4 linked regions of the Styela clava genome follow. The protein of the gene in region 4 purifies or fractionates together with the protein of the main gene of each other region. This does not show direct contact. Links are inferred from orthologs where the notes say so. Each region holds a gene or a part of one and is shown on either strand. Other genes may lie near its edges. The genes, in order: exosome complex component RRP46-like, exosome complex component RRP41-like, exosome complex component RRP42-like and exosome complex component 10-like.

Region 1 (8,010 bases), on a different chromosome or scaffold from region 4:
AGCCTCGCCTGGTACACATACTACGGCAGTATCCACAAATCCATTACCTTTGATAGAACGTTTACATGACCACCCTTATTTGTTCTATATTTGGTGGGGAGCTTCTATTCATCTTCATCAGGAGTAATCAATTTACCTCTGATTATTACTGTGGGCCGAAGGATATTTAAATAAAAAAAATGTGTGTTAAAGGACTGTTGAGGCTTATTGTGGATTCTTGATAAGTTTTGAGCCCACCCCGCAAGGGTGGACGCACCGCTCGTATTGGAGTTCTAGAGCATTTCGAAATAAATATGAAACCATAATTTTATTACTTTCACCATATTTATATTTGTCAATGACATACCAATCCACATTCCAGAACTTATCTGAAAAACGATCCAGAGTTTTCTTGTCCCCGAGTGTCACATTAATATCAGGATTTTCAAATTTATCCAGGGGGAGGAGAAAGCCACAATAATGCTTATTCATGCAACGCACCACAGTCTCAAGTAGTCACTAGTCCACGTCTGGTATTGGATCTGATAGCAAGTCATTTGTTTCGAATGCAAGGACTTGATGGTGGAGGAAGCCGTAATTTACCCGAGGAGTCTAGAAATCCTCTCACACATCATATATTGTGGGATGCAAATCCAAACGGGGTAATCAGAGGAGCGATTACAAAAGTATTCCCGCTGCTCAGCCGAATATGCCATATGCGAATATCTAGAATTCATTGATATTGATATTTGGCTGAGCATAAGAAGTCTATTAAATAGTAAAAACATCAAACACACACCTGTAAAGCCATGCTGCATCCATTGATAGCACAAGAAAGAAGCTGTTTCAAATGTAGTTAAGGAACTTTGATGACAAATCTTTATCGAAATGTCTTGAACCATTCAGGGCCAAAACCAAATATTTTAGTATCCACTATTCAATACAATTCATACATCGTAAAATAATCTTATCGAATATGAAATACATTCTGAAATGGGTCTGTTCAACAAGAGATATATTTAAAGACAATTGTAAATTCATAGAAATCAAATTCAGTCATGCAGTAGAATTTAAATTAACATTTGTTCCAATCTATATTCTCTATTTTAGTTGGTCAGTAGTTACTAATTTTTTTCTCTATCATAAAATAATAAATGCTAATAAAGAATATAATCTGAATTATTCCTAAAATCAAGACTTTACTCAATCGAATATAACTAATTTTCGAATTATTTGAATATTTAATTCCTTCTAGTTCCAGGCATCTCTGGCTTGAACCAGTCAAACTCTTTAAACTCAAAGTTATAATCAAGTCTACTAAAACTCAAATTCCGGTTCTCCTAAAATCAGTAGCTTCTCAAATAACCTCGGATATCAATGTCTGCAAGTACAGATGGGCTTGTTCAGGGCACTCCAAGAATGTGTGTACCAATATGGAGGTAGCTAAGTTTGATCGCCTATTTCACATCAAGTTGTGTAAAGGGACTGAAACCCATGGGCAAGGGGGATATTCACTTGGATAACACAGACAGTCCCTGAACTCATTATAGAACTAAAACCAGAAAATTATGATAATATTATGACCTAATCCTAACCTGGCACATATGCTACGAGAGTACCCTGCTCAGAGCAAAAGACACAAAATATTCGTCATAAAAATGAAAATAAATTAGTAAATCTGAGGTTTTTAATAAAGGATACAGATCCACAATCTTGAACAATTTGTATAATAATCATTATTTGACTTCTTGGATATAGATGTGTCATGATGACATTTTCAAATGTATGCCTTATTGTGTGTTCCAAGTATTTCTCCGCAACGCCAGGAATCCCATCTTTGGGTCGGAATGAAACTTCAATTGTACTTTTGTCAATTAATTGTTTACTTTCTCGACAATCTGCCGGTCCATAAACTGCAACGAGGACATTTGTGTCACCTAAATTGAAATGGAATGTGTTTAAAAATAGAGCAAATAATAAATCTGGAATTGATCAATTGAACTATAGTTTGCCATCTCTGACTTAGATGATCATATGGTTGTATGGTATCGCTCCCTCTGGTCTTTACCGGAAAACATTGTGTACATTCATTGTATTTTTACTTTCATTTTTGGTTGCAAATCAATAAATCTATATATCTATTTCTGTTGGAAGCATGGAGTTACTCTATTGAAACAACTGTTCTAATTATTCTTTGATATCCTGGATAGTGAAATGTTCAGAGCAGAATATAAATTATGTGACTTTTTGATTGCAGGAAGAATATTTTGCCTTTACCCAGAGATGACGAGTAGATTTGATTTCGCAGGTGGAATAATTCTGACAAAAAGTTTTCGGCAATATCTCTAAAATATAAAACTTGTTAACTGGTCCCGTCATTGCATCCCATTTTTTGAATAAATTGTTACTGAATTACCAAACATGGCCATGTGAATATGCCATTGCCTAACAGTTTATCAAGTCGCTATTCACAGTTTAAGACGATTAGTGAAAGACTTGATCAATCAATTGGTTCATTCTGCACCTCACTCAATGTGTAATATAATAAATTTGGTGGGAAGTGGAAAAGTAATTGTCATTCCAAAATCAGAACACCAATCTTTTTCTAACCTTAAGCAAACACCTATTTAAGCTCAGATTAAAACATCTTATCATAAAAAAAACGGCGCTCCAGAAGTATATATACTCATATGAAGGTAACTAATTTTATTCGCCTACCGGTACGTTACATCAATTTGTATGAAGGGATGAAAGCTTATGGGCAGGGAGTATATTCTTTTTGCTAACACAGACAGTCCCCGAACTCATAATAGAACTAAAATAAGGAAAATCAGAATAAAATTATGGTCCAACTCTAATCAGGTACACATACTACGAGAGTACAAAAAAACACAATAAATTGAAAAACCTTCAGAGTAATCAGCAGATCCATCAGGATTGTTGAGAATATTTTGTTCACATCTCATAACTTTCATGTCAACAGTAATACCGGGCATCTCTTTCTGCTTCATTGTTTTTATTCTATCACAATGTACACTACAATGAATCCTTGTATATAAAGAAAAACAGAACAATATAAATAAGGTATTGCAAAAATGTAGCAGTAGAACCAAAATTGGAAAATGTCCACTCGGTGGGTTTGTTGACTTAAATATTTGTATCAAAACTTATCTCAGCATTTTCTTTTAGAAAACAATAGAGCAATAGAAAAAAATGATATGTTGACCATAACCAACGTGTTCAATTTTTCTTGTGGCCTAAGAGCAAAATTTTTAGTTTAGAAGGAGTTTCATATCTAAGTAAGTTTTCATAAAACAGTTTGAGAAGAAATATTTGAAGATCAAGCATTTCTAAAGCAAATGTGAGATATAAAAAATTTGCAAATTTGGTAAACTAACCGATTTTAAATAGAGGCGAAAAATGTTATCAACTATGTATAGTTGGAACATAACTAGCATTATCATAGATATAAAAGCAGAAAAATAAAATAATGGCAGTAATAAGCTATAATATATATCAAGAAATTACATTTGAAGACCATAATTGTCTGATACTAGTCTTGCATGTCCAACTGCAAAAGACAGCAATTTAACCAACATTCGGAAATTTTTAATTTTAATAATGAAACACTTTGCTCTGTATGTGGCCCTGCATAAGACCCCACTGATATCTAGCAATATGTGAGAAGTTATTATTTTTGGAAAGACTGGAATCTTCAAGATTCAACGTAGTACACCCTGGGTGAGATTGTTGTGAGCATGAGATTTGAACCATAGTGTAACTATAGATGTCCGCACAGTTAAGTCTTAGCACTTTAGGGTGCACATTAGGTGCACATTAGAGATGTACCGATGTATCGGTATCGGTATCGGCAATATCGGTCATTTTTTTGGTATCGGCCATGTATCGGTATCGGTTAGATTAAGGCCGATATTACCGATATATTTACCTTTTTGATATGGTCCAGAATGTTTTAAAAGATAAGTTGGAATACTACTTTTTAATTTATTTTTGTCTGGAGAGATCGTGAGCCATACATGTCCCCACCCCCGCGAGAGAATAGGATTCACATGTTTTTAGCTATTTATCAGCTAAACTAGCTCAACTAATTTGGCTATTTTCGCTGTCAAATTTTTATATTGACATTTTTAATATTACATAGTTTTTATGAAGAAATATATCAACACAGCACATAACAAAAAGCAACTAGGCGCCCAGTTTTAAATCATGCAGTGGAATTGGGGTCCTTCCTTATTAACGGCACATGGACTTTTGGCACGGGTATAAATTCTGACTGTTTGTCGTCAAGTACGAGTGTCATTTAGTCCGTCGACATCGATAAACTAAATTCCGACACAATTATCCCTCTACACAGGTATTAATTTTAATTCTGCTTAACTACACGATTTCTTTATAGATATATTGACTTGACCGCCTAGCCCTAGACTGTCTCAAAATATAAGATAGCAATTGTAAAATATTATAAAATAGTGAAGTAAAAAAACATCCTCAACGGTTATCGGTGGGCCTTCTTTTTGTCGGTGCTGATTGATATTCTTTCATGTTGGCTTTGACTTATTGCGTCGACGATTACGATTAGCCACTGAATTAAATATTTGTAAAATGCTTTTAATTTGAACGTAGGACGGCGGCGCTAGAATGTGTGGGTGATATTCGATATTCTTTTAAACACGAATAACGATATTCGAAGCTCGCGATATTAACATTAAATTCAAATTGGACATCTCGGCTTATGAGTTTTCTAATTAAACACCGAGATTACTAGCGTTACTGTACAATGTATCTTAATCAGTTACAGTATATGGATACCAAACATTAATTTCATATTATGTGATATATATATCTTTTTTTTGATCTGAAATAATGTGTACTATGAACAACGCTTAAAGACCATTGTTTTAACCCGTCTGCCCTACACAGCATACCTAATTAAGTAATAATTACATAGTATCTGTATCGGAATATCGGTAATATCGGCCTTTTTGTAGTATCGGCGTATCGGTATCGGTATCGGCGTTTTTAGCTGGTATCGGTATCGGCGACAAAAGTGGTATCGGTACATCTCTAGTGCACATGGGCTTCTAACCCTGGTGCAATCTGCGATGCCCGAATAATCAAGTCTAAAGCTTTAGCTTGGCTATAGCACCCACTTCAGTTGGTTGCACCAAAACCAAAGTTATCATTCTGATAGCATTGATAGAAATGTTGAACACATGATCATATGTGTGTCCCATTTGGTGGGTTGATGTACGAAATTTGCTCAGTTCAGTATGAGACACATATACGTTATTGTCAAACAATTAAACAGTGAATACCAATTTACAATAATGAATTTCAAATACATAAATACAGTATACACAGAATATGGTGTGTATAAATGTTTAGTTTCTCAGTTAAAAATCATATTACTATTATATAGCGAAAGTTGATCTAAAATTTGAAAAGAAAAATTAAATATTATCAATTATTTTGATTGCATTGGTATGCTGCTCTATTTTATGAGTTATGACTAACATCAAGACTTTATTGCTAAGCCTTTATATGTTATTGATGAAGGTATATAAACAAACATAAGATATTGATGACAGTAAATCGCATCACAATAAAATAAATTTACTTGCATGAACAATACTCTTCTTAGTTATTGTCAAAAAAAAACAATGTATTTTCAGACTATTCTTCAGATTAACAAACCTACTGCTGGTTTCTAAAAAAATTAATTTTTCTCTGAAAAAATATATTTCCAATACTTCTCAATATCTTTGTATTATATTCAAAATCAAATTGAAAAACTTTATTCATTATGTTATGCACATTTACTGATCATCTGAAATGGAGGACAGATATAGGCTAAAAATGACTTCATCAATTCAAAACAAAATCAGTATTTAACAAAATTGATGACACGCTTACATGACCTCATAATAATGGCAGAATATTGATACATAAAGAATACCAGTGCTGATCAAACATTCAGAATCGGTTATATTCAAAATAGAGAATATTTAAATGACACATTTATCATTTATAGCTAATGATACAAAAATGGACAAAATAATAGGCTTCGGTCAATTCCATATGAAAAAAAAATAAAACAAAATTTATCTTTGCTCTTCTTAGCTGTAATATTGCAATCCTATGAATGTACAATTATACATGCATGCATTCTGTAGACATAACTGGATAGATTATATCGGGCATTCCTTATTTAACGAAGTTTACAGGATGTACTCGAAGTATGGATGTTTGATTGGGATGTCGAGCGAAGTAGTTAAGTATTAAATTTGGGCCATTTCAGGTTCTGATATGTCATATGATACCATTTGCATTGTTGTGACATGATTTTTCTTCATCTTTCCATCAGACTATCAAGCTAAAAACCTTTCCTTAAGTTGCTGTATATTTTAACTATTGATGCAAAGTTTGTTTTTTCTGGTTGACGAACAATAAATCTCTCTCTCTCTCTTCATGTAGTCAAGACTTTCATGGTGAGTGACATCAAATTCAGATTCGATAGCGCAAAAACTAGCCACGACTCATGTAATTGTTGAAGTTGAAACTGGGACGTCCTTGTTTGTTGACAAAACAGGGGTCACTGCTACCGGTCTGTTGATCACATCTATTGAAGTATAAGCAGAGGTTGATGGAGAACCAAGTGGTTTAAAGTTCCTTTCAATTTCATCATCGTCCTCAGATTGAGATGATTCTGGATCAGTTAAAATTTGTTCAATTTCGTGCTCTGTAATACTTGGTTTACGCACCAGTGATGCTGAAGTTCTCATCAAAATTGAACTTTTCAATTTCTGTTTCGTGTAATCAGATATTGACCCAGTTCGAAGTAAAGTCTTGTGTGGTCGTATTTGAGAAGTTTTATCATCCTCTATTGACACAGGCATTGAGGTTGATCTTAGAAGTGGTGCTTTGGGATTACTATGTGATAAAGCAGCAAGCCTATCCATTTGCGGACTTCGTTTTAAAATTGAAGATTTCCCAGGTTCAGGTGTTATTCTATGTTTTGCTGGAGTAAATGCGCTTCGTGGTGAATGAGAAATCCCAGAGAATGGCCGAGATGGCATAATTTTTGTATAAACTTGCGAACCCTTTTTAACAAGAGTTACCCCGGATTTAGTCACAGTTTTGGAAGTTGTACAAGTGTCAGACTGACTAGATATAGAAGAACTGGTAGATGTATTATTTTCCGATTCTTTTGAAATAACACTTTTTGCATCATCAATTACAGAAGTGACATTCAGTTTGCTTGCTTGAACAGAATTCGGATTATCATGCAAACGTGTGTATGACTGCTCTGTTTCAGATATTATGTTGGCAGGTATCATAAGCTTACTTGGACAAGTTTTTTCATCCGCTATTCCCAGTTTTTCTTTATTGGCAGTTATAACACCCTCTATAATCGTAGCCACAGTTGTATATGTCCTATATTGTTCCTCTTTATTGGCAGTTTCTAGGGATAAAGGATTGGGATTGTCTATGACACTATATTGCATTGATTCCTGGGGTGCAGACTGTTTCAATGTCGATGCATCAGCTGCTTTATTACTCGCTGAGAAACCTAAAGAGGTCTTCTCAATTTCACGTACATCACTATTAAATTTTGTACGTTCTTCTGTTGAATCTAAGTCCTTCAAATTACCAATAGCGCAAGACTCAGTTTCATTGCTAACGATTGCTTGAGAATCAGAAGAATAACCACTTTTACTCAAAATTTTGGGAGCTGTTCCTGTAGGAATCTCTTGAAAAACCTGTGATTTGTCATTGCTTTTATCAAGCTTTTTTCTATCAAAAGTGACATCTTTTATCCCCATTTCAGTGGTCTGGTCTTCGCTAGAAGTATCTTTGATCTGGATATTTTTGTCTGTATTATCATTACAAGCTTGATCCCCAATTTTTTCGACTTTCTTTGTGATAGCAGATGAGAACTTAGAATCTGATTTAGTAGGAGTTGGCATGCTTGTATTTCCACCAGTAGCTACCTTAGGCATACCTGCATAC
Region 2 (7,772 bases), on a different chromosome or scaffold from region 4:
TCGTAAGACAAAAAAATATGCATATATTTTCTGTAATAATACTATGAATATGTTGATGCTTATTTTAAAACAGATAGAACAGTTAATTATTAGTTATATTTAAAATGTCAGAATCAAAAGAGATGCAGAAGGGAGAACTCGCTCCTACAGAGTGGATATGGAATGAAGATGAAAACCCACCTTTTCATAGGACACAATACGCGCCTATGCTGGTGAAACACTTCGACTGCTTATTTGCCGATGGTGAAACAGGCCGCGTTTTTGTTCCGCTGTGCGGAAAAACTCTGGACATGATATTTCTAGCTGATAAAGGGCTTGAAGTTGTTGGATTGGAGTTCTCAGAAATCGGAGTTGAAGGGTTTTTCAAAGACAACAATTTGACCTACAAGAAAATGGATGTTGTAAATCAGCCTTTGGTGCAGTACAAATGCAACGAGAAAAATATCACTATTTACAGAGGTGATATGTTTAATTTGAACCCAGATGTCTGTGGCCAATTTGATGGCATTTGGGATCGTGGAAGTTATGTCGCAATCAATATCCCTACTCAGCAGAAATATGCTGATATTATTTTACAACTGATGAAACCAGAGGCGAAAATATTGATGGAGACTTTCACTTATGACACGTCGAGATACGGTGGACCTCCACATTGCATAACCTTAGAAAATTTACAAAGCACTTTTGGGTCAAAATGTGAAATTAAAGTTGTTGATACAATGACCATGCTCGCACATCCCGTTTTCAATGCAGGAGATATGATTATGACTCTTCCCTATTGTCTTCTTTCAATGAAATAAAGTTTTAAATTGACCATTGTGAATCAGATATAATATAGAGAGTCATGAAGTGTTGAACAACTTACAACTTTACTTTTAATCCTGGTTTCTGATTAACATGTTAATTTATTAAAGAACATAAATTAGTCAACATTCTGTAGTATCATTCTGATTTATTAAGTAAAATTAATGTTTGTTGTTTTGATTGTGGGAAGGGTAGTGCAGCCAATCAAAAGGTGTACGTCTATTTCTTATTAAAATCAAATTTATTCACGTTTTTGTCCAAATAATGTCGGTGTATTTTATAGTAATACCAATTTTAATTCAAAATAAATCTTATTTTATAAATAAAATAAATGAGAACTACAAGCACAATAAGATCGATTAATATACAAAGACAAAGAAATTTTTATTTGTTGATACTATAAAATCGGGAGAAACTTTTTGGACACCTGTATATTTCTAAATTGCTTGCTTTTTATAAGTATTTGTAATAAATACTTGTCTCACTCTGAATCGTTTACTAGTCAAAATGCTTCCTATAGAATATGAATATAAAGTCCAATTTTCTTCAAAAGCAGTTTCATATGTTTTAAGTTTTCAAATTTTATTTCCATTTCATAGACTATGAAGTAATATCTGTGTTTGAAATTTTTGGTTGATTCTACTGTATTTACATGCACTAAATATGTAAACCTTTTTTCTAAATAATTGCACTATGCAGGATGATTTGACATATATTTTTCCTTGTCTTGTATTCATATCATGATTTAGTAAAAAAGAGTAATAGTACTACCGTATATCCTCACATATAAGCAGAGTTTAAAACTCGAAAAAAAAGTTGCCAAACTAAGGCTTATACGCACATAACTCTGATCGCACTCAAAGGAATTGACGATGTTTTTCACGATTATTTACCTATGTTAACCCCAGTGATCAATATAGTATTTCATGATATGAATAACTTCAATAATGTAGGTCAAGAAAGCTCTTCATTCATAACTAGGTGCTAAGTCTTATTAATATTCATATATATTGACTTAATTTTATATATAATTACAGACCTTAGAAAGTAAAATATCACTATATTCTACAAACATGGAAACTAATCCTTTACCTAGGAGAGAAGTGGCCGTAGATGAATGGAAATGGTCAGCAGATCAAGACCCGAAATTTCATAGGAAAAATTACAGTCAGTTGCTAGTGAAACATTTTGAGAAACTTTTTGAAAATGGAACGACTGGACGTGTTTTCGTTCCACTTTGTGGAAAAACGATGGATTTGATTTTCTTGGAAGAAAAAGGATTAGAGGTGGTCGGTCTTGAGTTTTCAAAAATTGGAATCGAAGCATTTTTTGAAGAAAATAACTTGACATACTCAGAATCAACCTGTTCTGATAGCTGTCTTGTGGTTTACAAATGTAAGGAGAAGAATATTACTATTTACAGAGGTGATATTTTTGATCTAAAACCAGAATTATGTGGTCAGTTTGATGGGTTCTGGGACCGCGGAAGTTACGTCGCGATAAATATTCCCACTCAGCAAAAATACACAGACTTAATCTTCAGTCTGATGAAGCCAAAAGCAAAAATCTTGATGGAATCTATCACTTATGATATGTCAAAGTGCAAAGGTCCACCTCACTGCATCACGATTGAGAACCTTCAGGGCACATTTGGGGAAAAATGTAACATAGAAGTTATTGATATGATAAAGTATCCGGCAAATTTCCAACCAGATTTGGAATTGACAATTCGACTTTGCTTTATTTCTTTCAAGTGAAATAAATAAGTTGATTTTATAATATTAATAACAGTAATTTTGTGCAATTGCTGATTCATTACATAATTTTGTGCAATTGCTGATTCATTACATAATTTTATGCATATGGTTTTTCATTAAATAATTAGCACCACAGCTAGATTGATAATTTTTTTTTTAAATCCTTCCTTTGAACATTATTATCTAATGCAGGGGTGTGCAACCTTGAATACTGGATGGCTAAATGAAACTAACTGGGTTAAACTGCAGGCCACACCTTTATTGAAATAGACTCTCTAGTGATGCAGCCATGCAGGCTTAAAAATTTTGGTATTTATCTTACGACATGCGTTGTTCGCACAAGCTAGCTGTTTTAGGGGCATTGTAACGTCATAAGCATAGATAAAAAAAAAAATTGGACTCTGGTATTGACTTGGGATTCTTGCACGTATCAGATTAAACTAAATTAAAAACTTTTGCGGGCTGCGCAATTTTTCCTTGTGTGGCTCACGGGCCGCAGGTTACACACCCCTGATCTAACAAATTAACCTCACCCTCCATGAGATTTCAATCAGCATTTTATTATCTCTTGTAATGTCACTCATCTTGCCACTTCAGAATTTTTAATATGTAAATAATGTAGGAAATTGGAATTAGTTTGATTTTAAACTGGATATCGTTGTTCAGTATTTATCTAATTGGTAGAAACGGTGGTAGGGTCTAGGGCAGGGCAACATCCGGCCTGCGAAATTTAAGCATTTACCCCTTTTTCTTGCAACCCTATAATTATAAGAGCTTTTCTTATTTTTGTTTTGTGCAATCCCACTTGCTGTTGTCCTAGGAATATTAAGCGCAATATACTGGCATCCCTGTCGAATGGAAATACTCTAAATTTGGCCTGAAGTTAAAAGTTTGTGTATGGAATATGATAAAAGACCAGTGGTTTCCTAAACGTTCACGGTCCATGGCTGCATTGCAATATTTTAAACACTTGTGTGACCTGCTTTTCAATATTAACACCTAGTTTTGATTTTAACTCGTTTCTATCAGTTCAATACGGTGCAATGTTCAATACTGTAAAGACTACAAAAGAAAGCAAAATAATAAATGTATTGCACATGAAGAACTGTTGTACATGTTTTGGGCATCTATGCGTACAGTGAAATTACATTACATTGCAGAGCAAATATTATATTATATCTTAATTTTAATTGTTCAGTTTTTTTGATGTTGCTATTTAACTAAGTTCACAAAACTGCATTTTACAGTGTAATCGTCCCTGCATTTATACTGTATTTGTCTGACAGAATATTTATTAACGTGAAGTATATGATATTGCAATTCATGCCAAAAATGCAGTTTTTCTTGGTTTTAAAAACCTAATATTTTGAAATTAATTTTGTCCTCAGATTCTTGTGTGCTTACATGCCAAAATTGTTTCATTTTCCTGTTCATTTCTAATATGATACCTTCACTCAGTAAATGCAAAAGTATTAATTGATAAACAGTGTGTTTATAAAGTCCTGTTGCAACCCAGATTTGTTATGATGTCAGTTCTTAATATTTCTTGGCCAAATTTTGTTTTATTTTAATCAGTGATTAATTAATTTTTCCACTTCGTTTAATAGGCTTTCTTTATATTGTTCAATTTTATCAGAAATATTCAAATCATTTGTTCGATCCTATATGACTAAATGAAGTGGCAGACATGACCCTGTGGTCCCCAAGCTTTTTTTAAAAATATCACTCTATCGATTTTGGAATTTTTTATTTCTTCCTCACTATGTCACACTAATTGTCCAATCTTTAATGGATTCTTTGCTAGTGTTACGCATAAGTAATGAGGCATGAAAAAAAATCATAAATAACCATACACTTGTTGCTGAGTATTTTTGATGTTTTTTGCAAACCCTCGTCATTTGCAGCTTTAATATTGTTTTGTTTTATTTATCTATTCGTATAAATTTAAGCATTTTTGACCAAACCTAGATGAAAATCTGATTCTGTCTCGCAGACACAGTGCCATCCATTTCTCAGTGAATTTACATTATGTAACAGTAAACATATTACGTTAAAATACTCAAATACTTAAATACCCAGGGTGTAATATAAAAAATCGGGGAGGAAATGCAGAACAAGAAATATTTGTGTCCTTCCAGACTATACTTCCCTACCTAGCAGTATGCAACAATATACGTTGTAAAAAACAATACGTTGTATAAAAAATAGTACAGGAAAAATATTTTAAAGCCATTATGTTTTTAAAGTTCGAAAACAAAAAATTTTCATATTTTATTGATCATATTTAATCCAGTTAATAACTATGGCTGGTCTTGAATTGGTAACTGATGAAGGGTATAGAATTGATGGCAGACTACCAACAGAACTACGCCGGATTCGTTGTCGTCTTGGAGTGTTTTCACAAGCCGACGGTTCGTCCTATTTAGAGCAAGGGAACACTAAGGTACATGAAATTGGTTATATTTTTTTCTATAAAGACTTATTTTATCTAAGTTCTACTCAAACAGCTCCTTAACGAAAAAAACTTTTCAAATGAACGGAAATTTCCTGCTTTGGGATTCACTGTCTTATTTAGTTTATTTTGGCCAGACCTTGATCAATTCAGGTCCATCTGTATTCCGAATCGATTTCTTGGTATAAATTGAAGCTCAAAAGTGTCCTTCATAAAAGTTTTGAGGTGTGGTGCATTTGGCTGAGGCATGATAAAGGAAAAAATTTTCAAATTTATTTTAAGATGAGAGTAAAGTTAATAAGATGGCCTAATCATATGTCAGTAACTGACTTATGTATATACCAGTCCAGCGATCCCCTCGCACTAACTTATCCTCCACGAGATTAAAACATTGGAACTCCTAATGGGTTATAAGCAGTAGTGGGATTCAGCCAGTTCGCACCAGTTCTATAAAACCGTATCACGGAATTTCATGAGATCAGCGCACCGGTTAGGATTACTGGTTACTCCCAATGACTTTTGCGCGGCGGTGTGGCTCAACGAGCTAAACGTTAGGAATACGCTCGCCACCGCACCTCTAACTACTCTGCGTGGGTTCGCAGGTTCGAATCCCATGCAGGGATGGTTATGTGCGAGAGGATTGCTGGACTCCTCGCCGTCGTTGGGTGGTTCATGTAACCGCTGGTCGGTTACGGCTTCCTCCACCACCAAGTCCATGCTTCCGAAAACAAACAATACAGTAAAACTAATCCCATACCCGACTTGGAATGGTAACCGGACGAGAGGCCGTGGTTCGCCATATGGATAAGCTGTCTTATCGGCTTTCCTCTCCCCCGGGATAAATATGTAAATCCTATCCTATCCTAACAGAACCAGGTGAAAAATATGACTTTAGTAATGGAACCGGCTGACAAAAATATTGAATCCCACCACTGGTTATAAGTAATGTAATGACAAGCTTAATGTGCCAACCGCCGAGCCGGTTACAATCCTAAATGAACTCTTTATTGCAATTTACATATATTTTATAAATAATTATATCATGTCACAAATGTCACATACATCATTTGTCCATTTGCACTTCACAATAAGTTTGAGTAGAATATGTGATAACTTTGAAAAATGTTATTATTTTTTTTATTTTTATAACATTAATTGGTATAAGAATTTCATTAATAATCGATGCTTAATCATTTGGTGAACCATGGCCTCTCATCTCCATCATTGTATAACAATGAGCCGGTTTATAATTTCAAAAATTAAATTTTCAGATATTAGCTGCAGTCTATGGACCACATGAACCATCATCTAATATGAGAGGACAGGTAAGATAATAAGGATTGAGTTGAGTCATGAAATCTTCATGTTGAGGTGTAAGCTCTTCACGAAGCTTTGAACAGTATTTAGGGGTGTAAAAGCCAGTACAGGGAGTCCTCAGGTTACAGCGGTCGCGACTTACACTGTTTCGATGTTACGCACTCCATAAAAATATAAAAGATAATACTGTACTGTCTGTAATATCTAAGCCCTTAAACTGGATCATTGTGATCAAGAAATCAGTGCTTTGGACTCATTATTTTTTTTTTTTACACCGTGAATGACGTGGACAATTGCAAGTATTACGATTATGAACAAATAATCACTAAGCTTCAGTCGCATGGTACACAGTTTCAGTGATACTGTTCGCCATTTTGGTTGTTCCGACTTGCACTGAAATTCGGGTTACATCGCATCACAAGAACGGAACAACCTCGTAAGTCGAGGACAACCTGACAGTATGTGTTCTGGAGTTTTTCTCTTTCTCTCAAGGCTCTGGTGCTGGTGCAAAAAGGCTTTGGGCAAACAACTGATATACAGTTAGAAAGGGGAATGCGGACCTACTATTTTCAATCAGTGGTGACTAGGCCAGGGTTTACTCGAACTAGAGGCTCAGATTCACAAAGAAAATTTGTGACTTGCGCGTAGGGCTGAGAAGCCCAACTACAAAGATTTAACAATTAATCCGACATTCTAATTTTTAAATGTTTGGCACAACTTTCAAAAATATTAATATTTTTATTTTCCCACAGCTAAAAATTGTGGAAGATAGAAATGGGAATTACCAGCAGTCACGCTGTACAGATAGATACTTGAGCCTCTTTTTCCATTTACTCCAATCATCTAACAAAATAACATGACTAATCGCCATAGAGACTTTTATTTGGGACTCGAAGACATTGTTGTTTACAAAACTCAAGAGTTGAGTATAAATGCGATTTGAGGAAATTTGCTGTGATTGGTCTTGGCTATTGGTTTAAGGACCGTAAACTGTCATTAAATTTACCTGAGAAATATCTTTGAAAAACCCTGATTTCGCTTGTATGAAGATAAAAGATAGTTGAATACTTTCTTTATTATTATTTATCTATCCACAGATTCTCAGTGACAAAGCATTTCTGAACTGTGAATACAGTCAAGCAACATTTAGTACTGCTGAGAGGAAACATCGGTCACGCGGGGACAGAAAGGGTCAAGAATTGTCTATGCACATTAAACAGACTTTTGAAGCTGCTATTTTAACTGAATTATATCCAAGGTGAGAAAAGTTAAAATCGGTTATCAGTTATGTCAAAAATGGATTGAATATTCAAATTCATTCAACATTCGAATATTCAATTTACTAGTACTTTATACCCGATTTCAGCAATAAATTGAGAAATCTTACATTTGAAAATTTCCTGATATGTCATGGTCGAATGAAAAATTGAAAATCCTAACAG
Region 3 (6,811 bases), on a different chromosome or scaffold from region 4:
GAAACATTTCATGCACAAAGTGAAAACACCCTGTGAAATAACTTTATCAAGCAGAGTTTTCTTGTAAAGTGAAAAGTAAAATCAGTTTTGCGCCTAGCATTGTCGACCTCTGTCCACTGGTATTTTATACTATATATTTCTGTATAGTATGTATTCCTCATAATTCACTCCTTTTACATATGTGATTCTGGGATGTTTTGACAGAAATGCTTTTTTTCATTTCCAGAGCTATAGCTTTAAAATAAATCAGGTCAAGTTCAAATGGATGACTTCCTAGCTTTTTGCAACAAGACGGCTGGTCGAGACAAATTATATAGGTAATTGATTGTTTTTTCTCAAGACTGTTTTTAGGTAAATGTGCAGAAATTGGGATTTCTTGTAATTGAATACAACATGTTTTATAGAGTCACGCAATATGGCAGCAAATTTCTTGTATGGTATCTACTGAGAAATGGCAATAAGGAAAATGCAGTCAACATGCTCATAGAGCTGGAAAAATTAATGAGCACGTCCAGAAAATGTGAGTTTATATTTTAATAATTCTGGCAACAGACACAGATCTCACATTACCAAAGCTCAATTTACTGAATAAAAAAAAAATATACATTTTTTTCAGTATTTAGATTTGGGAAAAGTGTGGACAGTCTCAGAGCAGCCCAGAGAGCAATAAATTTGCAAAACTATGTTCTGAGTCTCACACTAACTACCTCTCATACAAATAAAGCAGCCTACCTTCTCATTGACCACTATATATGGATGGGGAAAGTTGGCTTGGTACACGCAGATCTGAAGAAGTGGACAGAGAGCGCGAACAAGTTTTGGTTGGCATCTTTGATGATGGCTTTTGCAAGGGATCTCTATTCGTTGTATATCAATATGCAACTATTGGCTAGAGATGCAAGAAGGCGCGAAGAATCCATCTCGTTCCAGACCTACTTTTCCAATTTTGTGAAGCAGAATCAACAAGCAATAATCGACCTTTTGAAAAATGGATTCGATATAGTTATCCCCGCAAACAGTCTGGGATACACTAATTTCAATAACGGGGTCGTTGGGTTATGTGGCGTGTTGTCCTCTCTATTAGCTGCAGTACAAATAGCGAAACCCTCCATGAAATTAACGCCGAACTGACAAAGCACATGCTTGTTATTATCTATCTACCCCTACTAATTCTTACTTATACATACTATGCAATTATTTTCAATGAAGCGTTAATTTTGTATGATTGATCTGATATCAAAATAAAGCATTATAAAACGAATGCTAATATAATTTTAGGTAATATTTATGGGGAAACATTAGCATTGGGAATTTTCTGAAAAGGCAGATTGTTTTAGTCAAAGAAAACCAGTTTTGTCATTAAACTTCATAACTGGCATGTTTTTGAGAAACTTCAAAATAGATTTATGTAAATTCATTCCTACTCTCTTTCCCACATCTAGCATTTCGCTAATACTCTGTGGGTCCAGGCTACCAGAGCCGTCTTTACGCAGAGCTGTACAGCGGCCATCTTTCATAATTGATAAAATGACACTTGCCAAACAACATGCTTCCTCCTCGGCTGTGGCGTCGATAATATATCTCTGACCAGCTTTTGACAAAGTCACAAAAATTGGACAATTAGTCACATTCATGGGGATACTGTCCAATGGATCATCTGGCAAGTTAATTTCCACCTCCCCCTCATCACCTTCGGTCACTCCCAGTTTTGGGATAGATGTGTCAAACAAAGCAGCGAAGACTGCAATCGACACTGCATCAAGAAGATTGCCGCCACATTCTAATATGAGAACGTCAACATGCACTGACCAGCAATTTTTCCCAGGCACAATACATAAGCTTTTAAGGTCTAACACAAGATTATTGTTATAGGCTCTTGTTAGTAAACTTTTTATGGTTGCGGCAAGATCTTCACCGCCCCTACCTTGGAACTGTGGTGTGGCATTTGGGGAGCAGTCAATGTTAAAGTCCACCAATCCTTGGTCAGGAGAATTTGCCAGTGGCATTTCGAGATCAAGTTTCACGCCCACAAGAAGTTCTGTATTCCCAATTCTCAGTCTGCTAGATCCATTTGTGTTAGAAACAAGATTTACTTCCAAATCAATGTGTCTGTAATCTTCACAACCTCGTCCATCATTCCGCAAATCTTCTTGTATTCCATGAATTATAAAGCGCTTTTCTGCATCACCAAGTATTGCAATTGCCATTCTTGCAGACTAGAGTAGAATGCGCCAATTCGACCTATTACAGTAATAATTGAAACCTAAGTTCACATTACAGCATTAAGCGCACGCTCATTGTGTTACAGAACTGCAGATTAGTAGAAAAATAAGTAGATACCGTCAATCAATCAATTTTATTTTGGTCGCTTTGGTATAAAACAAAACAACAACAAACAAAACGCAGAGGACCTGGAAGACGTGAATGAAAACAAGACCTAACGTCTGAACGGTATAACTTCTGTATACTGGTATACCGGTAAGTGTATTACCAGACAATAGTCTAATCTAGGCCAAAAACCCTCTACAAATGGCACCGTACCTTCGCCGACAACTTAATTAATGAGACTCAGATACAGACGAGCAAAATGCGGTAGCAGCGATACAGTACCGTACTCTTCGTAGTCACACTCCCAACCTTAGATTGCAAATAAAAAAATAATTCAAATACAAGAAATCCGCGTGCGTGACCTTTGATCTCGTAAAATTTCATGTCCATGTGCTCATTGTGCTGTGCCCAGAGCCATTATATAACGGCTCTGCTGTGCCCATGGATGTTTCCTTGTTTATTTCCGTAACCTTGTCCAATCAATATTATGTCTACGATGACATTTGCGTGTTCTTTGTCAGTTTTCAGTTGTGTCTCCAAAAATTAGTCGTAATTCAAATAATTTGGTTCCATTACATTTGAACCCACGTACATTTGAACCCATGACAATTGCACCTGTATGCTATTGCACCTATGGAATTTTTTTTGTTTCACGGATAGTTAAACCCATACTAACCCTAACCCATGGGTTTTAGCACCCGAATATAGATTGAACCCGTGGATATACGCATGGGTTCAAATGTACATGGGTTCAAATGTACGGTCACCAAATAATTTAATTGTTATTATGTCTTCCTTCAGTTTAGTTGCAATAATTAGCCCCGAATAATTTGCGATAGACTACTAGACACGCCTCCGGTTTTCATCATTTGGCGTAAATAAGCTGAATTCAAAAAAAATAAAAGCTTTAAGACGGCTCAACCATATGGCGAAGCACCGCCTCTCGTCCGGATACGAGTACATGTCAGGTATGGAATAATGGTGGCCAGTTATTTGTTTCAGACGCATTAAGCATATGTACAGGTTTAATTCTATTTTCATCTCTTGTACATAACAAAGATTTGGAAACATCATTTAAAACTGACAAACAAAACCTGAGATTACAAAAACGAGACGACTGAAGATATCCATTTGGTCCAGTGAAAAAATTAAGCGATTCAGCTAAAAATTATCTTATAAATTAATCAAAAGCGGACAAACTTATACTGTATATTGAATCACTGCTAACCATCATCTGTAACAATTCCCGATTCAGCAATATCGTGATAAATGAGTCTTAGACATTTATCTAGATTTTATTGGGTTGTGAGATGGATAGAATTTACATATTTATCCCGGGGGAGAGGAAAGTGATAAGACGGGTTATCCATATGGCGAACCAAGGCCTCTCGTCCGGTTATTGTTCCAAGTCGGGTATGGGATTAATAAGTTATTTGTTTTCGAAAGCATGGACTTGATCATTGTCCCGCAACCACCCCCCCCCCTCCCATACAGCGTAAATGAAGCATTTCCTACACTTAGCAACCTGTGCCCAAAACCAACCTCATATAATCACGACCAATGATAATAATTTAATCTTTTACAACAGACAAGAGGTTTTAACAAAAGAAATAGGAAAATATATCACTAAAATTTTCTTATAAAAATGTGACAATTAGTAAGCGGACATAATACTACATAGTACTTTTTCCACTTTAAAAAAGTGCACAAAATATTGTAAAGTTGTGTACAAATTTTTAAACAGCACTAAATTAAATTTCACAGTACAAGTGGCTTGACTAAGCAAGAATAAATTAAGACTTGCTTAGTTACAGTGAATAAAGTGTGACCATATGTCATGAAATACTTGACTGAATTATAATAATTTCTAATTCAGTAATAATTGTTCCTCTGGAATACCGCAAAATCACTACACAGATTCATATTTCGTTTGCCAGTCTTTGTACTTGTGGCTCAGTTTAGCAGTTGATGGCTTAGTGTGAATAAGAACATCTAAAACACATGCTGTTGATATAGTGTCCAGGGTGAAATCTGGAAGTTGCTGTAGAAAAGTAGATAAATTATGGATACAATATAAACAAAAGCAATACAGCTTATCAAGGGTCTGAGATTATGTGGCCTCCTGAGCGTAATACTGTTTTATTGGTGTTTCAGACTTATTAACAATGCATGATTCCATGACATCTGTGGACTCGAGGAATAAACTCAAACAAGAAAGTTGGGATCATACATTGTTGTAGACAAAAACATGAGCAGTTTGGGTGTGACAGATATGAACAAATCATTATGGTTTGATATGGCTCTCATTTGCTGAGAAGCTCCCTGCCTTGATATGCGTTTAAATTGATCCTTTTTTTATAAATAATCACGGATCGATTTATACATAGTGTGAAAATATAAGAGTATACTGATTGATTATAGACAGTGTTCAATACTCCGATGAACTCAATAAAACATTGTGGTTTATTTATTGTGTGTACTGCCTTTAGTTCTTTTTAGACAAGCACCAAGTTTCCATTACAACACTACTTTATTGTAAGAAACGAGCTTTTTAAACCAAAGACACCATAGCAGTAACAAACTAAGCAGCAAGTCAAATTTATACACGTGCAATTATATCATATATATAACACAATAATGATGGTGTGGTAACTTGATCTTAAATGTTTCATTCATTTATTTATATTTTATAGATATGTGTATAGTGTGTTTTAAGTTTGACGAAGCATATAAACTGTCTCTCTCCGAATCGACAACTAAAATAGACCTTTGGTAAACATTGATAAGATAATTATAGTCAATATAATATAGTAACACAACAAATCCTAAACTTAGATACTTCCAACATATGGAAAAATTATCTGGAATTGTTTTATTCTGTTGTCTAATTCTTTTAGTATGTGCAATATAATGTGGACCTCCTGAAATATGCGCACCAAGATGGCGCACAACCTGAACTCAGGTTGTGTACCAGGTTAGGGTTCAGGTTATGCGACATCTTGGTGCGCATACTTCAGGAGTACCTATAATTTTCTATACTTACTTCTCCTTCAACATGATTCTCCAAGGTATTGAATATTTTTCTGACAACTTGCATTGCTGCTTCTTTACAAACTAATTTAAGATCTGATCCAGAATATCCCTCAGTTTTCTAAAAAAAAGAATATTGTGAATTGATTGCCTGGTGATGTTGAGAGAAAAGAACTAAGAAGTACTAATGGAAGTTTCTCTTTATAACAAACAATTCCTTTATTCCTTGAAACAAAAGAGCAATGCTGAAATATATGAGCGCAGAGTTCGCACATAGGTACTGGGCGCTCCATAAGTATGTGTACCAATATGGGGATAACTAGTTTTGTTTGCCTACTTTACATCAAGTTGTGTGGAGGGACTGAAACTTATGGACAGGGAGTATATTCACTTGGCTAACTCAGACAGTCCCCGAACTTGTAATAGAACTAGAATGAGGAAAATCAGAATAAAATTAGGGCCTGACCCTAACCTGGTACACATACTATGGGAGTATCGATACTGGTACAGAAAAGTCTCAGAACACACAGTTTTATGAAAAGATCATCGGAAAAGTGTGGTGGAAGTTGTCAAGAGTGACAATATAGAGAAGTCTTCACTTACAATTAAAATAAAACAGTATAATTATAGGTGACATAAGGGTTTCCATAGGAGTCAGCTTTTTGAAATCGATCGGCCTAATAGTTGTGAAGAAAAAGAATATTTCCAAGCAACAACAACAAGAAAAAACACCAAGCAACAACAACGATTTTTAGCACAATAATCGATAAGTGCATTTTGTGTCTAATAATGCACAATCAGATATCAATCATCAAATAATGGAAGAAAAACAGTATAGCTAGCATTTTAATACAGACATTCATATTCCATTCAAAACAGGCATTCGACATTCTACCATGAAACCAAGTAATTCTAGCTTTCAATAAAAATCAACAACAATAAAATAATTTGAAAATGTACAAATTTATACATAAATATCTGAATAAGAAGTACCAGTTGGTATTTACACCAGTTTGATTGAATTGATTGGAAGGCAAATTAACTGGTTAGTTAAACCAAAATATAAATTATAATCACCTCAGCTAGAGCTCCGTAATCAAGGTTTGTGTTGATGATCAAACTTCCTTCACTATTTTTCGGAGGTAGAAACCTGAAAAGAACATTGAAATTGGTTGGATTAGTGATTCTTGATCTGTGGCTTACTAAAAAACTCTCAACACTTGGTGCCGCTGGTTCTTCAACAAAAATACCTAGTTTTGGTTTAAATTAGTTTTCATCCAATATTTCAAGCGCCATGTATAATAATAAATAGCAAAAAAAACCTGAGTAAAAGCAGAAATGTCTCCTAGTTGAAGAAATAGACAAATCAAATTTCCTTGAATTAATGTAGTCATATAGAGAAACCCTGGATTGGATTGTACTAGTTTGACTTGCTTGGTCTAAATTTAAACTC
Region 4 (6,919 bases):
GATAGGTGGTGGTGGATTGATATCCGGAGTCTCGGTTGCGGCAAAATATATAAACCCGAATGTCAAGATCATTGTAAGTTTAAAATCTAACTGAATCAAATTCGTATTATATTAAATCTATTTATGCAATGAACAAGTGCAGGAAATTGTTCTCTTCAGGCATTTAATTAATGTTTGGTTAGTCGTCGCCGCGCTAAATCCTTGATAAAAAGTTTCAAATTTTAAGGGCGTCGAATCAGAACGATGTCCAGGGTGGCACACGGCCAATGAGCACAGACGACCAGTCAGATGTTGCAGTACTATGAATGGAGCTACGCAATCGATTGCAGACGGATTAAACGTTTTGAGAGTAAGTGGTATCATGTTAAGCGTCTTTCGGTGCTGTGCCTCAGCTTTGAATTGTCTGCCGGTGGTTTTTCGTCACAAGTTTCCGTGTTCCCCATTTATTCATTCACGCGCGAGTGTCTGAAAATCATTGTTTCAGAACAATTTCCTTCAGGAAATTATGTTATACGCTTGTCTGGCTATAAGAAAAGTGTGTTATATCTGAATTTAGCAAAAGGCATACTCATGCCTTTAGTCGTTATTGATGCCTCACAAATAATTGAGTCTTTTTCCGAATCTTATAAATATCGCAATTGAAAATATTTGTACAGGTTGGATATAACTCATTTGCAACGGCACAAATTGATAAGCTCATATCAGTTCCAGAAAAGTATATTACTACAGCCATACTACATTTATTGGAAGGAGAAAAATCGGTGGTGGAAGGAGCAGGTGCAATCGGATATGCAGCATTGCTTTCCGATAAACTACCTGAAGTAAAGGGCAAAAAGTGAGTTTCGGTGCAATGTGTCAGTAAATTCTTCATTGTGTTTATTGTTTCATTTAATAATATGTATAGTACTGCACAGTGGCGTTAGTAGTTTGCTTGTCATTAACCTGAAATCTAACGATAGCGAAACTTGTGCTAATTGCGAACTGAATTTGTCCTTTTCTTTCCCATAGAGTTGTATGCATATTAAGTGGAGGCAATATAGATGCAAACATCTTGACACATGTCATAGATCGAGCATTAGTACAAGAGGGAAGGCTATCACGATTTTTAGTGGCTGTGACTGACCGACCTGGCGGTTTGGCAAGACTTACAGATATGTTGTCTGATTTAGGAGCAAGGTAAGTAGGCGTATACAGATTGTTATGGCGCATTGATTTTGGAATATTATTTTATGATCCGTGCGCAAATTTGAGAAGGAGCAAACGATTCTTATGTTATCTTCGAAGAAATAAATATATATATATATATAGGGCTCGAGTGGAATGTGAATGTCATTTACTTGAAACGGTTGTCACATTGGTACTCGAGGTGTATAGTGCATTTTCACCACGACCAAATAGCGTCTGGCCGAATAGCCACTATTGTTTATTGTACGGATAATGGGAATGATGAGGGATGATCTTCAAATGCTAACAGAGTCGGGTACTATACGCTCTGATATATATATTCATTAAAATCCATTTTAATTATAAACTGAGAATTATCATAATTATATATAGTCCACCCCTGAGCCAGCGATTGAATGATGGGATCTAAAGATTTCATGATTGGCATATGTATATTTATAATATTCTATATAGGGAGGCTGCATGATGTTTATTTGTTTTAATGATTTAATCACTGTCCATATATCATAACATTACAGCATCAAAGACATTGGTCACGACAGAATGTCTTTGCCTTCTCACGTCTACATGGCGGCAATTACCTGCACCATCGAAACCAGGAACAAAGGTCATGCAAAACTAGTCCGTGAACAACTAGAACAATTTTACAAAAATGACCTCAAGTGGCAACAATTTCACGATGACAACGCACTTCATTAAGAAACCAAAAGTGTCGATGAACAGTGGAAATATAGTAATATAATATATTACAGCAACATACACCTCAGAAAGCAGTGATGTTATCAGACGCATATATTTAACCAACTCTGCCTCCTAATCAAATCTACGAGTGTCCATATTTTGCACATTTCTGTGTAATTTTATAGACTTGATCGCGACCTTTTAGGTTATTTTTCCATTGCTTATCTTTTCATGCTTTATTTCTATTTACTTTATTACAACTGGAATCATAAAACAGTTTAATCAGCGACAGACCCAATATACCAATAGTTTATTTTTGAACTCGAAATCACACCATACATAGAAAATTGGCACAAACAGCACAAAACAATTTGACTTTTTGGAGTACTGCTGATTGCTGAAAACTAGACTAGACTTTAAAAACGAAAAATTACGAGCAGTCACACCTTAATAAAAAGAAATAAAAGCAGGTTTTATATAAAATCTGGCAGTCATGTTAATTGTTTTCAAATTCTTTTGAACCTAGCGTTTTCAACTGAAAAGTTCTCCCGTTTCATTCAGACATTTTTGCATTAGGTAGGGCTTTCATACTTATTCAGGAGCTGAGGAAAGCCGATAAGACAACTCAACCAAAAATCATATGACGAACCACGCCCACTTGCTCGTTCACGAGTCTATGTCAGGTACAAAAATAGTTTACTATTAACTTTTTAAGATGCGTTGATAGTGGATGAGGACCACCCTACGATGGTGAGGATTCCGCCAATCCTCTCGCCAACCGTTGAGGCTATCAAACAAACCATTCGTAGGCCATTGAATATCTACCATACCATTGTGTTGAAGCCATCCGGGGAATTCTCCTCACGAGTGAATCCCAATCGTGAGCGCATTTCGAAAACGAGAGGAAGGTCATTTTAGGCAGAGCACTATATTAATTATATTTAATCATATTACCCCTCAACAGCCACAAAGTATATCTAAACATAAAATTTTAATCCTGATTCCTGATCCTGAGTTTGTGTTGACTGGAAGTAATGATAGTGCCGCTGCTTGAAGGCAATACGAGGGTCCTCGCGAAATCTGTCCCACAATTAAAATTAGTTACCGTGATTTTTTATATTCAATGTTTCTCATAATGTTCTTATATTGTGTTGATAAATAAATGATTATCAATTGATTGTGAAAATGTTTGCTTTACCGGTGTGTATGTGCCTCACTTTCGCTATCATATGAAAGATCTGCCGAGTTGCCTCCAACTAACCCTTCATATTTACAAATGTGGTACTGGTACAGTTCACTAATTATAATAAATGCTTTTGCAAATAGCCTCTACATATACTTCTAATAATATATGTTCCAACTAAGTCAAAATAAACTCATAATGTACTTACCGCAGGATTAAGATTAAAAGGCATGACGTCGGTTTCGTGAACGGCACGTGCTTGAGTCTATTGGTCGAAAGGTAATGTTGCCGAGAATTTCTGGTTTTGTTGCAGGAGCATGTTTTCATAATTCTGTAATTTACCCGGGTTGGCGATTTTTTCTATTTATTTTTTTACTTCGAGACGTTTTCAAAATCAGCATCTCTAAACTAGAGTAGCGCACACTTGCTAAGTTAGGAAGATAATTTTTCTAATAGCCTAATGTCAGAATAGCCGAATAATTCGCTTTGCTCAGTGACTGCAATAAATATCAGAATATCTTGGGCTTGGGTGAATCTGTAGGCTAAATTGATTTTGCTACATACTGCTGTACTGACATACGGTACGGTTTTACTGTTAACCACAACATACATTCATATCTTTATCTGTATTGTATCCACTATCCTATCAAACGGTGGAACGTTAACCGGTTCAGACTGACACAGATATGCTGATACTGTGATATGAGATTTTCCTGCAGTCAGGCATTGCAGGAGTCAGGAAAGTCACGGTACGGGTACACAGTACGGACTTGAATCAACCACAGTCTGAGCGTACACCTGTACACAGATACCAGTAGATCTATACTTCAAATATATTGAGCCTGTAACTGATTATACGTTTTTTATTTCAGTATTTCAAACATTAAAAGGAATAACAGAATAATGGATGCTAATTCTGATAAAGGTTTTGCCAGTGGTAGTTTGGGTGATGTTGATGAATATTCAAAAAAAGTATTGAGTGCTTTAATGACAACTATCAAAGCAAGTAGTAGTTTGCCTCACTCTTCAGATGATTTCGACTTGTACAGCAGCTTTCCTGGTTTTCGCGCATTCTATAACAAACAAGGTTCAAGGATTTTATCAAACATCAACTCATTTCTACATCATCAAGGAATAAAGACTTTGCCACAAACTGATGGACAAACGAGTAGTGGTAATGTTGATGTAGATGATCATTACGATCGTATTGTTGAAGCAAATGACATGATGTTGGAACAAATATCCACATTATTAGAACAAGCTACTGCACCGAAAAAGGACAATTCACAACCAGATACTGATGTCGTTATTCAGCAACCTCTAGTTTTCATTACGAAAACTAAGCCGATTGTTTCGTCATGGAACAGAGAAAATAAATATGGCAAACAACAAACTTTCAAATTATTCCATGCACATAATATTATGAGGCCACAAACGAAATTCAAAGATAAAATTGACAACAGTAATCTACCTTTTGTTCCAAAAATTACAGAGAAACCAAATGCTGTGAAACAGTTACCGAAAGCTTTAGTAAATTTACATTCACAATCATCTGATGGTGGTGTTTCACTTGCCATTGTCAATTTGGTAAGACAAGGTAGAGAATATAACGCAGAAGATCAAAATATATATGGTCACCCATATGAAACGGAGCTTGCAAATTTGAAATTTTTAAACAAGCAGCTTCAAAGAGTCGAACCACAAAAATATGATCCTTTCCCATCAGAGCCATGCGAGGTTATCACGAATTTAAATGAACTGCTCGATGTTATTGAGCACTTGAAAACTTGCCCTGAATTTGCAGTTGATCTGGAACATCATTCCTATCGATCTTTCCAAGGTATAACCTGTCTCATGCAAATATCGTCGAGATCAAAAGACTTTTTGATCGATACATTAGAACTACGATCAGAAATTCACAGATTCAATGAAGTATTTACAAATCCTAATATTGTAAAAGTATTTCATGGTGCTGATTTTGATGTGCATTGGTTGCAGCGCGATTTTGGAGTGTATGTTGTTAACATGTTTGATACTGGTCAGGCCGCAAGAGAAATGTGTTTAGGGCATTTTTCTCTTGATTATTTGTTGCAAAAGTATTGTGATGTTCATGCAGATAAAAAATATCAACTTGCGGATTGGAGAATCCGGCCGATACCAGAGGAAATGAGAAAGTATGCGCAAGAGGATACTCATTATTTGTTATATGTGTATGATATAATGAAAAATGAACTTCTGGACTTGGGTGCCACAGGTCAAGCTTCTGGTACTGGTACCACAAGACTCCTCAATACTCTATATAGAAGTCGTGATGTTTGCCTACGAAAATATGAGAAGTTTCTACTTACGCCTACATCACATCTTAAATTATATGAGAGACGGAAAAGCAGAAAACAACTTAATAACAAGCAACTTGAACTTCTGAAATTGCTTTTTGAGTGGAGAGACACGATGGCAAGACAAGAGGATGAAAGCCCTGGTTACGTTTTACCTAATCATATGCTTTTTCAAATTGCTGAAATCATGCCCAGAGAGGCACAAGGAGTACTTGCATGTTGCAATCCAGTACCACCTCTTGTCCGTCAACATGTTCATGCAATTCATCAGTTAGTTTTGGAAGCAAGAGCAAAAGGCTCTGGTAAGAAGACAGATGCATCACATATCAGCACACCGACTGAAGTACCCGTTCCAGCAAAACCTGATGAAGATGCTTATGATGATATATTGACTTGCCCACATGACTTATCTAATTTTGATCTTTCTACACCAAACACTAAACATAAACCGCCGCAAGTATCGACTGCTCCACAATCGTCATTTCTCTGTAACGACGGTCGTCCTCAACCATTACTTACAGGTCAATCTAGTAATCCAACCAGTCATATGCAAGAAGCAAATTGGGATCCATTTTCAAAGTATTTTCCCCCTAAAAATGATTTGCCAAACGCACCAACAAAATGTATAACATCTCTTGACGATGTGAGCTTGAAAACAATGCTGAGTCTTGAATATGCTTGGAAATTGAAAAATCTTCATGGTGATAAACAAGAGCAAGCAGAAGAGAAGAAAGTTGTACAAAAACAAAAGCAACAAGAAGAAGATGTTATTATATTAAGTAATTTACCACAAGTTCATGGACAGAAGCGTCACCCACAACCAAATCAAGATAAAAAGATGTCGAGACATGCCAAAAAGAAAGCGAAGAAACTTGCAGTAAATTCGGATATACAACCATTTGAATATACCCAAGAGCATTATAAAAGATTCCATTATCATAAAAAATGACATTTTCGGACATTATCAACCTACTGTCATATTCTATTATGGAATTAATGTAATTCACAGCTGTCCGTAATGTGCTGAATAGTAGTGAATATGGAGAGATGCTATATCAGATCCGTCTGGAAGATAATAAGTGGTACAGATATTTCTCTGTTCAAAAAATTTTAATTTGGATTCACCTACTCTTCTCGACTGCCAAAATTTTTGCATGCACTGATTTAGTTCATTTAATGAAATTCACTGTCTTTTTGGCCAAATATAAAGGAAATATTTACAATTTTTCCTTCATGTCGCATTGTGGATAGTATGGCAAAGTATTAACATACCCTGTTGGTATTGTGTAGTTTTGGATATCAGGATAAGGGGGGTTTTCTGATAGACATTAATTTTTGTCTTGGCGAGTCATGGGGTATGACGCAGGGGCTAAGGGACACGAAGCTGGATAACCTATGGTAAAGTCGAGGTTTTGTTTGGATACTCCCGTAGTATGTGTACCGGATTAGGCCTCAATTTTCTTTATTTTAGTTCGGGACTGTCTTTGTTATCCAAGTGAATATCCACCCTGCCCATAGGGGTTCAGTCTCTTTA

The links.
Region 1: the proteins of exosome complex component 10-like (region 4) and exosome complex component RRP46-like purify together in Homo sapiens (co-immunoprecipitation; 8 studies listed by BioGRID and IntAct, with this or other methods). This does not show direct contact. The link is inferred for Styela clava from reciprocal best matches to the Homo sapiens genes EXOSC10 and EXOSC5.
Region 2: the proteins of exosome complex component 10-like (region 4) and exosome complex component RRP41-like purify together in Homo sapiens (affinity purification with mass spectrometry; 9 studies listed by BioGRID and IntAct, with this or other methods). This does not show direct contact. The link is inferred for Styela clava from reciprocal best matches to the Homo sapiens genes EXOSC10 and EXOSC4.
Region 3: the proteins of exosome complex component 10-like (region 4) and exosome complex component RRP42-like purify together in Homo sapiens (affinity purification with mass spectrometry; 6 studies listed by BioGRID and IntAct, counting the BioPlex papers as one, with this or other methods). This does not show direct contact. The link is inferred for Styela clava from reciprocal best matches to the Homo sapiens genes EXOSC10 and EXOSC7.

The regions. Positions count from the first base shown.
Region 1 is NC_135253.1:19,714,710-19,722,719, forward strand, and holds the start of exosome complex component RRP46-like, read right to left. Parts: upstream 3,022-8,010; 5' UTR 2,991-3,021; coding exon 2,888-2,990; intron 1,917-2,887; coding exon 1,681-1,916; intron 821-1,680; coding exon 779-820; intron 1-778. Other genes in the region: uncharacterized protein LOC120326325, read right to left, coding at 6,537-8,010. UniProt on the Homo sapiens protein: Non-catalytic component of the RNA exosome complex which has 3'->5' exoribonuclease activity and participates in a multitude of cellular RNA processing and degradation events.
Region 2 is NC_135257.1:18,366,745-18,374,516, reverse strand, and holds the start of exosome complex component RRP41-like, read left to right. Parts: upstream 1-4,769; 5' UTR 4,770-4,863; coding exon 4,864-5,004; intron 5,005-6,284; coding exon 6,285-6,338; intron 6,339-7,427; coding exon 7,428-7,588; intron 7,589-7,772. Other genes in the region: thiopurine S-methyltransferase-like, read left to right, coding at 105-800; thiopurine S-methyltransferase-like, read left to right, coding at 1,878-2,561. UniProt on the Homo sapiens protein: Non-catalytic component of the RNA exosome complex which has 3'->5' exoribonuclease activity and participates in a multitude of cellular RNA processing and degradation events.
Region 3 is NC_135257.1:17,235,493-17,242,303, reverse strand, and holds exosome complex component RRP42-like, read right to left. Parts: upstream 2,432-6,811; 5' UTR 2,208-2,431; coding exon 1,338-2,207; 3' UTR 1,132-1,337; coding exon of another isoform or gene 617-1,131; 3' UTR 521-616; downstream 1-520. Other genes in the region: peroxisomal membrane protein 11A-like, read left to right, coding at 262-317, 405-520, 617-1,131; katanin p60 ATPase-containing subunit A-like 2, read right to left, coding at 4,238-4,369, 5,372-5,479, 6,436-6,508. UniProt on the Homo sapiens protein: Non-catalytic component of the RNA exosome complex which has 3'->5' exoribonuclease activity and participates in a multitude of cellular RNA processing and degradation events.
Region 4 is NC_135262.1:8,880,928-8,887,846, reverse strand, and holds exosome complex component 10-like, read left to right. Parts: upstream 1-3,897; 5' UTR 3,898-3,952; coding exon 3,953-6,334; 3' UTR 6,335-6,608; downstream 6,609-6,919. Other genes in the region: L-threonine ammonia-lyase-like, read left to right, coding at 1-73, 227-349, 657-835, 1,009-1,176, 1,704-1,884. UniProt on the Homo sapiens protein: Catalytic component of the RNA exosome complex which has 3'->5' exoribonuclease activity and participates in a multitude of cellular RNA processing and degradation events.